Linked DNA regions of Rattus norvegicus. The protein of the gene in region 1 purifies or fractionates together with the protein of each later gene. This does not show direct contact. Links are inferred from orthologs where the notes say so. Each region holds a gene or a part of one and is shown in the gene's direction. Other genes may lie near its edges. The genes, in order: Themis, Grb2 and Ptpn11.

Region 1 (3,645 bases):
GTGTGTCCTGAGAGCTCCAGGCGGGTCCCTTGGAGCAGAAGTGGTGGTCTTACCTCTGCTCTCAGGTGTGTCAGCGCTCCTGGTAACCAACTTTGAGCTCTGCGCACAGGCAGAAACTGGAAGGATCCTGCCCCTGACTGCTCCTAGGTTCCTGTGACTGCTCTAGGTGCACGTTCTGCTTTGGTCATGAATGTGAACAGAAGTGGTGTTTTTCTCTGAGCTCTCAGGATTGTCTGCACTCCTGAGAGTCCAACTCTCTCCCCCATGGGATTTGGGTGCCGAGAGCTGTGGGATCGGGTCAGCTCCAGGCACAGGCAGAAACCCATAAAGGTTTTACATATAATCCCTGTATCTCAGAAACATGACTTAAAATCAAGTGATAAGACTTTCATACTTGTCTATTTATATGTACATTCATATAGATATATGATACATATCATAAAATATACGCATAAATTCAAGAATGGGCAGCATTTGAGTCAGGAGCATAATTACCATTTATAGTAATAAGCAAGAAGTAATTTTTGCTGAGATTCACAGAGATACAAAGGGTTGGGTAACCTCTATTTCTTAAGTTGAGCATGTTGGTATACGTATCCCTTTTTCTCATCATAAAGTTTCAAAACTGCAAAGTCATATATAAAGAAAATCATATCATGACTATTTGAGTTCTTTTCTCTTCCCTAAATGAATAGTGCCAGGAGACTATCTCTACCAGGATACCACGAGAGCACTCTGAACAAAATATCAGTTATTTTCTCTTTCATTTTCAGTTCAAAAGGAAATAGTCCGGATTCTCCCCAGTTTAGACGTTGAAGTCAAAGACATTACTGACTCTTATGATGCTAGCTGGTTTCTTCAGTTGCTGTCTACAGACGATCTTTTTGAAATGACCAGCAAAGAGTTTCCTGTAGTAGGTGAAGTCATCGAAGTATCTCAGAGGAACCAACTGCCCCAAAATATTTTACAGCCTGAGAAAACCATTATCATCCACAAAAAGTACCAGGCTTCAAGAATCTTAGCTTCAGAAATTCGCAGCAATTTCCCTAAAAGACACTTCTTGATCCCTACTAGCTACAAAGGCAAGTTCAAAAGAAGACCCAGGGAGTTCCCAACGGCCTATGACCTGCAGATAGCTAAGAGCAAGAAAGAAACTCTCCACGTGGTGGCCACCAAAGCTTTTCATACACTTCATAAGGAGCTATCCTCTGTGTCTGTTGGAGACCAATTTCTAGTGCATCATTCCGAGACTACAGAAGTTGTCTTTGAAGGAACAAGAAAAGTAAACATTCTTTCCTGTGAAAGAATCCTCAGTAAGTCCCGTGAAGCAGCACAGCTTCCTCTGTATATGGAAGGAGGTTTTGTAGAGGTGATTCACGATAAGAAACAGTACCAGATTTCTGAGCTCTGCACACAGTTCTGCTGGCCCTTCAATGTGAAGGTGGCTATGAGAGATCTCTCCATTGAAAACGACATTTTGGCAGCAACTCCGGGACTGCAGTTGGAGGAGGACATCACAGATTCTTACCTACTTATCAGTGACTTTGAAAATCCCGAGGAATGTTGGGAAATTCCCGTGGGCCGCTTGAAAATGACTGTTCGGTTAGTTAATAGTAGTAGTTTGCCTACGGATGCAGGACCACTTCAAGTTAGGAGTCTTGTAGAAGAGATTACCGAGGAACAGTATTACATGATAAGGAGATACGAAAGCTCAGTATTACATCCCCCGCCTCGCCCTCCCAAACACCCCTCAGCTGAGGATATGAAGCTAACCTTGTTGAGCTTAGCAGAAGAGAGAACGATAAATCTGCCCAGGTCTCCCAAGGTAAGAGAATGATTTCAGAGTTTTATCTTCTTCTTGAGGCAATAGGTTCTAAGCTGTTTATGAATACGCTTTTTGTTTCCTTTCTTTTTTTCATGCCAATCTGAAGCAAATCTGCTTGACACGTGCTCCATGAGGGAATGTGAACAGAGCAGAAGCTACTCTCTTGTAGCATTTGATGCTCCATCAGTAGATAGGGCATGGAATCTATGTAGAGGTAGAAATAGAAGGGATGGCATTTGGATATGACCACATGAATTGACATTCTAATGGGTCTTGGCGATTAAATATGTTTAATAAGATGCCCCACCAAGAAAATCCCTTTTATTTTAGAAATGTGGTTCATTTTCCTTAGGTAGAATTATCTTAATACTTCATTCAGGAAATGAGCATAGAATAAATTCCCAGCTTCATAGGATGGGGGTGGGGAGTTTACTGGTAACATGCATCTCTAACGCATGCCTTCATTTTGTTTTATGTGCAGAAAGGTGTAAAAATATCTTGGCCGAACTGTGTGAGAGAATGAGGGCATCTACCCACATAATGCCTCTTAGAATTGTAATATTTAGCAGTTCTACTAGAAAGATGAAGTCAATAAACTACAGACACTAGGAGGTTTTAACAGATCCACAACTGTTCAGGACATTGGACAGTGGTTTAGCATTGTTTATACTTGATGTTGATTCTTGAGCATGCCTGAAGGCTACCTGAGCCAAACCTACCCCCTCATCCAGAATGCACATTCTTTTAGTGTGTGTGTGTGTGTGTGTGTGTGTGTGTGTGCGCGTGTGTTTTGTGTGGAAGGAGTGTGTTCCCCAGCAGATGTTGTGCTAGAAGCACAAGGAAAACTAAGCAATTAGTAAAAGAGATACTTTCCGATTGCTTCTCATATTCAGAAAAGATAGTATTGCTGGACATCAAGACTCATATGTGGATGCTGATCTGCCTGAAATTGTATGTATGAGAGACTGTTTTAATTGTATGCTAAAGGTTAAATCCTTAAGGGTCTCTGAACTCATTTGCTGGAAAAAGAATAAAGCCACCAACATTTCATGTCTGATAAAATCATTTTTAAAAATGACTAAACAGAACAGTTACAAAATAATATTGAGCAGCCGACATGTAGGATTTCTTTGATGCTTACACTTAACATGTTGTTTTCACTGAGTTGAATGATACAAACACTGGTGTATAGGTTCTTGGCACGTAATTTTAAAAACGAAGCAAGAAAAAAAAATCTCACACATATTTGCAGAAGTAGCAAGGAAACATTCAAAGCAGAGCCTTAGAGCAGATCAAAACCACACTTTAGAAGTGACAGTGGGCCCCGTGAGTGAAGACATTCAAGGGCTCCATTATTGTTTAAGTTTTCATTTATGGGTCCAAAGGTTGCCAACTTGCCATGCCTAGGAAGACAGACACTCAATTGATGGAATGCATCCACCTTACTGGCCTCTAGGGATCTCTGTGGGGCGTGTCTGTTGTTACTATGGATATAGTGTGGTTGGTTGTCCATTTTGATTGACAAGCTTACATAGGCTTTGGTCGCTGTGTGTGTCTCTGTCCAGCATTCGTCTGATTTTAATTATATATAAGCATAAGAAATTGAATAAGGTATTCCGAACAGATTAGTAAGTGCATTGTTCAGAGTGGTGTGTGTGTGTGTGTGTGTGTGTGTGTGTGTGTGTGTGTGTGTGTGTAGTATATGTGAGTTGAAAGTCTCAGACTGCCAAATTTTCTGATATGTGTGAATGATGGTGTAGAATTCTAAATGACTAAACCATTCCCTATTCTTGCCTACTTCAAAGTGAGAAATGGATACT
Region 2 (4,100 bases), on another chromosome or scaffold:
TTCGTGCTCTCCTGTAATTGGAAAGAGCTTTTGGAACTGAGAGGTACTTCTCCAAGCTTTCCTCTACCGCTCCCCCATAGCCGGCAGCCCCACATAGGAATCTATGTACTTTGCATGGCACAGAACACGACTTTCTCACGCCTCCATCCATCCCTCTGTTCTTCTGTGCTATTCCGTTTGCCGGCTATGGGCTTACCCTGGCTCCTGTGCTGTGCAACTCCTACTCACCCTCAGCACTCGGCGGCACATCACCTTCTTTGTTAAGTCTTTTATGCAGTGGGCAGAGGAACAGAGCCAGCCTTTCTCCATCTTTTTGGCTTCCTCAGCATTCCCCCAAAGTACTATGTGTAAGTGTTATAGTTTGTGTGTGTGTGTGTGTGTGTGTGTGTGTGTGTCTGCACGAGGGTGTGTGCAGGTGAATGCCGGTGCCATCAGAGGCCAGAGGCACTAAATCTCCTGGAGCTGGGGTTACAGACAGTTGTGAACCATGGGATGTGGGTGCTGGGAACTGAAATCAGGTCCTCTGGAAGAGCAGCAAGCGTTTTTGTTTTGTTTTTTTGTTTTTTGTTTTGTTTTTGACCTCTGAGAGGTCTCTCCAGCCCAAGACATTACTTGTTTACTCTTCTGGTGCTTCTCTCGATTGATTGAATCGCTTAAGGGCCAGGATCTCTGCTCGTCGTTTCATCTTCTTTACCCAGCACAGTGTTTACCTACAGTAGGTATGTAGTTCACTCGGTGAACGGACTAATCAAACAGTTCATCAAACACTGCAGGTTGTACGAACCAGATTCCCAAACATTTCTAGATCTGGTCCTCTATTTGGGTCGAACCATCCTGAGATCTGCCGCCCCTCGACCCCTCCTCGAGGCCTCTTTGCTTTGCTTCGATAGAAAGAACGCTATTCGAGTGTGGAAAGCGCTATTCCGCTAGAGCAGAGCTGTAATTCACTTGCTCCGGCACGCAGAGGGTTACAACGGCCCAGGGGCGGAGCCGAGTCCCTGCCACCTGCTGCGGGGCGAGCTGACGCATGCGCGAAGTCCCCCTTAGGCTACCTGCCGGGCGGAGCGGAGGAGGAGCGCTTGCGCTCTGGGCCTTTTCCGCCGGGGAAAGTCTCGCGGGGGCGGGGCGCGGCGGGGCGGGGCCGCGTGGGGAAGTTCTCGCGGGACCCTGGCGAGGAGCGGAAGCTAGGCTGCTCTGCTGCTTCTGCGATCGGGCGGCGGCGGGGCGAGCCAAGCTGCGGCGGGGGACGGCGGTCTGGGCAGCGGGCGCCGCAGTCAGGGAGCAGCAGTGAGGTTGGCGGCCGCGGGCGGCAGCACAAGGCGGGCCAGGCCGGGTGAGGGAGCGGACGGCACGTCGCGGTGAGTGCAGGAGAGCGGGCGGGAAGTGAGCGGGGGCTCCGTCGTCCCCGCGCCGCGCCGGGCAGCTCGGGCCCGGTCTGCTCCGGGCTGCCGGGGCGGGCCGCTCGCGGGTCGGGGAAGGCTCGGACCGGAGCGCAGCGGCTGCGCAGCCGTCTCCTCGTTTCCCCTTTTGGGGCGCTTCCTTCCTGGTGTCGGTCTTCCTCCCGCTCGGGGCAGAGACCGGGCGAGCCGACGATTGAGGTCCGGTGTGGCGGCCGTCCGGCTGGGCGCAGAGGAGCCCGGAGCAGCCGAGAGGCACAGGGTGCTGCTCTGAGTCAGGCTGACTGAGCCCGGGAGGCGGGGGATTCGGTGCCGGCTGCTAACGTGGTGATTGATGCTCCTTTGACCTGCAAGGCAACCACGTCACCGTCTCTTGGCATCTTGCGGTCGAATTGTGTGCGGGAATCCACCATGACTTAGAATGATTGTTACCCGGACCCACCGACTGGTCTTTGCGAGAGTTGGGAGCTTCTTTTGTAGAAGTACTTGAGAAAAAAAAATACTTGTTGTGGGGGGAAAAACAGCAGCAGCTGATGGGAATGCTGGCAGGAAGGATTTTCGCGGAGAGAGCCCCGCTGGTTCATGTCCGTTTGCAACGCTCTAGGTTGTGTGGGTTTGTAAGAAAGTGATTTTTAGGGTGTCTTCAAAAGCTATATAGCAGTGCAGTTTGCCGGGAAGCCGAGGCGCGTTCAACGTCCGTCTTTTGATGGTGTTGACATTCAAAAAGAGGCTAGAGAAATTGGCTTTCTTTTGACTTCTTCGCCTCTCTTTCACTTTGCCCTGCAGTTTTTGTCCTTTCAGTCTCTATTCCACTCCACTAGGGACACGAAGTACATTTTTTTAAAAAATTTATTTATTCTATGTATATGAGTATACTGTAGTTTTCTTCAGACACACCAGATCCCATTACAGATGGTTGTGAGCCATCATGTGGTTGTCGGGATTTGAACTCAGGACTTCTGGAAGAGCAGTCAGTGCTCTTAACCGCTGAGGCATCTTTCCAGCCCCACGAAGTACATTTGTAACGCCAGTCATTGGCGCCTCCACCCCCTTTAGAAAATAATCTACTTCCCCTTCTTGTTCTTCCTCCGCTATAATTTTCGAAGTTTCTGCCGGTTTGAGCACTGTTAATTTTCTCAGTCGTTCTAAGATCCCCTTTTTGGGGGGGGTAGATACCTTCCCTTGTTTGCATTTCTTTTTTTTTTTTTTTTTTTTTTTTGGTTCTTTTTTTCGGAGCTGGGGACCGAACCCAGGGCCTTGCGCTTCCTAGGTAAGGGCTCTACCACTGAGCTAAATCCCCAGCCCCGTTTGCATTTCTTTTAGACTGTCCTCTGTATTCTTCAGCCAGCCAGAAGGGCTACTAAGGAGCCATCGGGGTGCTTGAGGGGGTTTAAGTTCTCCCCCTGGGAACTAGAAAACCCAAAGGACTGAATTCATTGCTAAGTAATCGATAGTGCCATCAGATCACAAGTGGATTTGCCTGTTCGCTTGTGCTATTTGTATTTTGGTGTTTTCTTCACAAGGTATCCTTTTGTGCCTACTATTTTCCTTCTTTCTCTCTCCTGTTTCTCTTCTCTGTTAGTAAGGAAGATTTTGAGCCAGTTTGGAAGCTGAAAGACTCCCCCCCTCCCTTTTTTTTTTTTCGGAGCTGGGGACCGAACCCAGGGCCTTGTGCTTGCTAGGCAAGCGCTCTACCACTGAGCTAAATCCCCAACCCCGAGGTCAACTATTGTTAAATGAGAAATCATCCGTGGAGTTTGTGAAGTAAGATAGCTTGAAATAGAAGAGAACTTTGGATATTTGTGAATTAAGTCCACCTTCCTCTCCTGACTAATGATATAGTCCTAACCAGGCTTTTTAAAATGATTTTTAATTTTGTATGTGCTTGAGTGAGTTTTGCCTGCATGTATGTATGGAAACCGTGTGCATGCCTGGTGCTGTCAGAGGCTAAAGGAGGACAAATACCTTGAACAGGAGTTACAGAGGGTTGTGAGCAGCCATATATATATGTGTGTTAGGAATTGAACCCAGGTCCTCTGGAAGAGGAGTCGGTGTTCTTTAACAGCCTGAGTTGCTATTCTCTCTAGTCCAATAGTTTTAAGCACTACTCACTGGTACTGAGGGTTTTTTCCATGATTTCTGTTATGTCGCATGTATACAGCAGCCCTTATGGAGAATTATGAATTAGGAGACAGCAAGACAGAGCTGCCACTCCCGGACAGGCATTTGGTGTCGTTACCTGCTGACCTCAGAGGCCTACACCTTTGGCCACGGTTATTGAGATTTATTCTTCTGTGTTTGTCAGAGTTGATTTTCCCGAGTTGTGCCAAGTCTAACATACATCATTTTCATTTTGTTCAGACGTAGTGCACTGAAATGCAAATTTTAAAATTTGCTTAGTGCTTCCTCATTTTAGCCTTGATTCTTAAAATTTGTATGTATAGACATAACCTGCCAATTAAGGAAGGGCTGGAGAGATGGCTCAGTGGTTAAGAGCACCGACTGCTCTTACAGAGGTCCTGAGTTCAATTCCCAGTAACCACATGGTGGCTCATGACCATCTGTAATGGGATCTAATGTCCTCCTCTGATGTGTCTGAGGACAGCTACAGTGTACTCATATATAATAAATAAATAAATAAATCTTAAAAAAGAAACCTGCCAATTAAAATTTTTTTATCCAAAAAAATTTTTTTGAGACAAG
Region 3 (4,146 bases), on another chromosome or scaffold:
CATTTATCTAACAGAGACCCCACCCCAACCCCCAGAGTAGTGCACTGGTACTAACAAATTTGGACATTCAAAAGAGAAGTTATGGAGTGTTTCTTTGAAGTGGAAAAGGTCAAATTTCTTAATTTAGAAAAAGAATCGGGGGTTGGGGATTTAGCTCAGTGGTAGAGCGCTTGCCTAGGAAGCACAAGGCCCTGGGTTCGGTCCCCAGCTCCGAAAAAAAGAACCAAAAAAAAAAAAAAAAAAAAAAAAGAACCAAAAAAAAAAAAAAAAGAAAAAGAATCACTTGTCAGGATTGCTAATCCCAATATGGGTGAAACGGCAAAAAGAGAAGAAAACCGTGCTCATCTTACTTCAAGCTGTCGAAGTATGGCCATGGCATATAGGTTTCTGTTCTCAAAAACAAACAACTCCCCCTCCCCACCCCCCAAAAAAAATCAACGGGAGGCTGGTTAGATGGCTCTGCAGTAAAGAACGCTGTTTTATCAGAGGTCGTGGGTTTTGCTCCTAGCACCCACATGGTGGCTCACTGCCATGTAACTCTATCAGGGACTGTTGTCCTCTTCAGACCTCCTTGGGCATCAGACACACACACACAGTTACACACATACTTACACGCAAGGCGACTACTAATACACTAACATTAAAAAAATATAAAAAGCAATAAATCTTTTTTTTTTCTTTCTCTTTTTGACAGGGTCTCCCTACTTAGCTGTCCTGGAACTCCCAATACAGACTAGGCTGGCCTCGATCTCACAGTGATCCACCTGCCTCTGCCTCCCTAGTGCTGGGATTAAAGGGTACACCACCTTGTGAGGCAAAAGGAATAAATCATCAAACATTATCTATAAATGTGTGGGTATGTGCACGTGCCCGCGGAGGATGGCGGATCCGGTAGAACTGAAGTTACAGGAGGTTGTGGGCTGCCCCATACAGGTGCTGGGAACCGAACTCGGGTTCCCCCATCCTCCGCTTATTTGTTTGCTTTTCACGTGTGCACCCGCACTGGATGCGTAGTGTGTACTCGCACTAATGTGCGGCGTCCCAGATGAAGAATCTCCCTGGCGTTCAAGTCTGTAAACCGCACAGATTAGGAGGAGGAGGCCCCCCTCCCCAACCTCCAGCACTGGTCAGGGCCCTGCAAACCGGAAGCAGAAAGTGGCTGTGGCGGCGGGCGTGATGACTTCACGTCGGCGCCGGCGGCAAGGGGCGGGGACGAGGGCGGAGCGAGCCGGGCGGCGGGGCGGCCGCGCAGTGTCCGGGATCCAGGCCTGCCAGGGGTTGTGCGCGCGGCCGGCCGGCTCTGCCCGCTCCCGTGTCGGCTCCCGAGCGGGGCCTCACTCGGCCCCCTCCATGTGACGGCGCCTCGTGGAGCCTGAGTGAGCAGCGGGTCCGTGCGGAGCCGGAGGCGGGAGGAACATGACATCCCGGAGGTGAGCCGCCCGCAGGAGCCGGGCCGCGGCCTGGGTCCCCGCCGCTTCTGTGTTGCGCGGCCGCTGGGGGTTACACTCGGACTCCCCACTGGCGCGGCGTCCCCGCCGCCCCACCGCCCCGCCCGCGGGTCCCCATTCATTTCCTGCCGCCCCGAGTTCCTGCTCCCGCGACTCGGGATGCCCGTGGGGACACCCGCGGCCCGGCCGGCCGTCGCATTCCTGACCCATTGCCTCATGAGCGTCGCCTCCTGGGGATTCCGAAATAACCCCGCGCGCTCGGGGAGGCGCCCGGGCCACCGCGGGGCCTTCACACGGGACCCTTTCAGGTGCCCCCTTTTCGCCTCCTCACCCTCGCCCCAAGTGCCAGAAGTGGGAAAACTGAATCTGTCTGCAGCCTCTGGGAGTGTTCCCAACCCCACTGTGATCTTTGCTTTGAAAGGTGGGAGGGAAGGGAACTGTATCTGGTCGTGGAATTGTTCCTTCGGGTAACGAGTGCGTTCCCGTCTTACGAATGTGGAAACTGAGGCTCGGAAGTAAAGTGCTCGTCACAGGATAGGATTGGAAGCTGAGATCAGGAGGAGGATTAGTGAGTTTCAACTTCAGAGACTCAATTATTGACATTGACTTCGCTCTTACTAGAAGCCAGCTTAACACGTACCGCAGTGGTACGAGGTGGGTGGTGGTCTCCCTTTCTAAACATGGACCAAATTGAGTTTTCCAGAATTAAGTACATTGTGGCCTTTTACCTTGGTAAGAGGTGGAAAGAGAATCTCTCATTGTGTTGCCCAGGTTAGCCTCCAACTTACATTCCCGTTACCTCTCAACCTTGTAAGTGCTGGGGTTATACAGTCTGGATCACTATAAAAGCTTGTTTTATTTAGTTTTAAAATCAGCTTTATTGAGATAAGTTGCTTCTGATCCGGCAGACAACATGATAAACCTTGACATCTGGGAGATGTCACCACTCCTGGTAAGGTTTTCTCAGCTCTCTCTTACCAGTCCTCTGCTCTCCTTCGACCACTGTTTGGTTGTTACTTTTCTAGAATTTTGTATTAATGACATTAGACAACTATGGACTGTTTTTTTTTGGGGGGGGTGTCCTGATTTTTATTATTGAAAGTTTTTTTTAACATGTATTTATTCATTGTGTGTGGACCCAAGGCATGGTATGCATTTGTAGGTCGGAAATTGATACATGGAGATTGGCTCTCACTACCACACAGGTTCCAGGGATTGAACTCAGGTTGTCAGGCTTGGCGACACGTGCCGCCACACCCCGGCGTAGCGTACAGCGTCCACGTTCACAGATCCATCCATATTGCTAGAGTTCTATTACTCGGCTGCTGCCAATTGTATAGCGTTCCCATTGTAGGGCTGTTTCCTTTTTTACCCTTTCTGACAGACCTTTGGCTGTCTCTAGAATTTGTCACTCACATGTGATTCTGAGAATGCTCCTGCAAAGGCCTCAGTATGGTCTCACCTCTTCGGTGGCCATCTACAAGTTGAATGGCTGAATTTACTGTGTACAGGCACTTGCAGCCTGCCCACAGAAGGGCTGTCACTGTTTACTTTCCAGTCTTACTCTGTGAGGGCTGCATACAGCTTGTCTGTATCTTTGAGTTCTGATTTCCTAGTTTTATAAAGATCTGTTTTGATTTTGCATGTATAGGTAGCTTGCAAGCATGTGAATGCATGTGTATGCCTCATTCCTGGGGTCAGTAATTGATTACTGTGTGAAGTGTGGGTTCCTGCTCTCTATTCCATGGGGCTCTCCAGTTGTCCCAGCACAGCTGCTGGGGAACCTCTCCACAGGTAGAGTCTGCTCCATTGTTGAAGGATACTTGTCCTTCATGTGAGTTTGTTTCTTGACTCGGTTCTCTTCCATGGATTTTTCTGTATCTTCACGTCAGTCCCGAATGGTCTTGGTTCTTTCTTTCTTTTTTTTTTTTTTATGTTTTTTTGTTTAATATTGTGTGTGCACGCACAGAGGTCCGAGGAATGTGTCAGAGCCCTTGGACTTGTAGTTAAAGGTGGTTTTAAGTTGCCTCACACGAGTGCTGGGAATGAAACTTGGGTCCTCTGCAAGAGCAGCAACTGTTTATAACTAGTACACGTGTTTTGTTTTCTCTCCTCTCCATGATCTCAGTTATTGACTCTTTCTCCCTCTTTCTTTCTCTCTCTCTCTCTCTCTCTCTCTCTCTCTCTCTCTCTGTGTGTGTGTGTGTGTGTGTTCGTGTTCGTGTTCACATGTGGAAGTCAGAAAACAATTGCATCCTCGGGATGGAACTCAGGTTGTTAGCAGTGTACGTTTTCACACTGAGCTATTGTGCTGGCCTGAGGAGCTAAGAAGGCTCTGCGTTCTGACGGGGGATTCAGGGAAGGTCTCTTTGAGGAAGTGATCATAGGAACTGACACTTGGATGGCGAACACCATATTGATGTTTGTTTTACTTAATCATCACGGTAAAGCTGGACAGGGTCTCATCATGTCATACCAGTTGGCCTAGAACTTTCTACGCAGAACAGGCTGACCTTGAGTGCTCGGAGCCACCTGCCTCTGCTTTGGCGGTGCCACTGTCTCTAGTCCTAAAACAGTTCATTTTGGTTAGCATTGCAGACTTCACATTTTCGTGAGCCTTCAGTAACCAACATGTGGGTTCATTCAGCGTGTTGGCTTCTCAACCTTGAAGGTAGGGAAACTTAAGCCCAGAAATAAT

What was found.
Region 2: the proteins of Themis (region 1) and Grb2 purify together in Homo sapiens (co-immunoprecipitation; 6 studies listed by BioGRID and IntAct, counting the BioPlex papers as one, with this or other methods). This does not show direct contact. The link is inferred for Rattus norvegicus from reciprocal best matches to the Homo sapiens genes THEMIS and GRB2.
Region 3: the proteins of Themis (region 1) and Ptpn11 purify together in Homo sapiens (co-immunoprecipitation; 3 studies listed by BioGRID and IntAct, counting the BioPlex papers as one, with this or other methods). This does not show direct contact. The link is inferred for Rattus norvegicus from reciprocal best matches to the Homo sapiens genes THEMIS and PTPN11.

The regions. Positions count from the first base shown.
Region 1 is NC_086019.1:18,382,747-18,386,391, reverse strand, and holds part of Themis (protein THEMIS), read left to right. Parts: intron 1-773; coding exon 774-1,825; intron 1,826-3,645.
Region 2 is NC_086028.1:101,445,336-101,449,435, reverse strand, and holds the start of Grb2 (growth factor receptor-bound protein 2), read left to right. Parts: upstream 1-1,297; 5' UTR 1,298-1,358; intron 1,359-4,100. UniProt on the Homo sapiens protein: Non-enzymatic adapter protein that plays a pivotal role in precisely regulated signaling cascades from cell surface receptors to cellular responses, including signaling transduction and gene expression.
Region 3 is NC_086030.1:41,024,839-41,028,984, forward strand, and holds the start of Ptpn11 (tyrosine-protein phosphatase non-receptor type 11), read left to right. Parts: upstream 1-1,240; 5' UTR 1,241-1,416; coding exon 1,417-1,430; intron 1,431-4,146. UniProt on the Homo sapiens protein: Acts downstream of various receptor and cytoplasmic protein tyrosine kinases to participate in the signal transduction from the cell surface to the nucleus. Positively regulates MAPK signal transduction pathway. Dephosphorylates GAB1, ARHGAP35 and EGFR.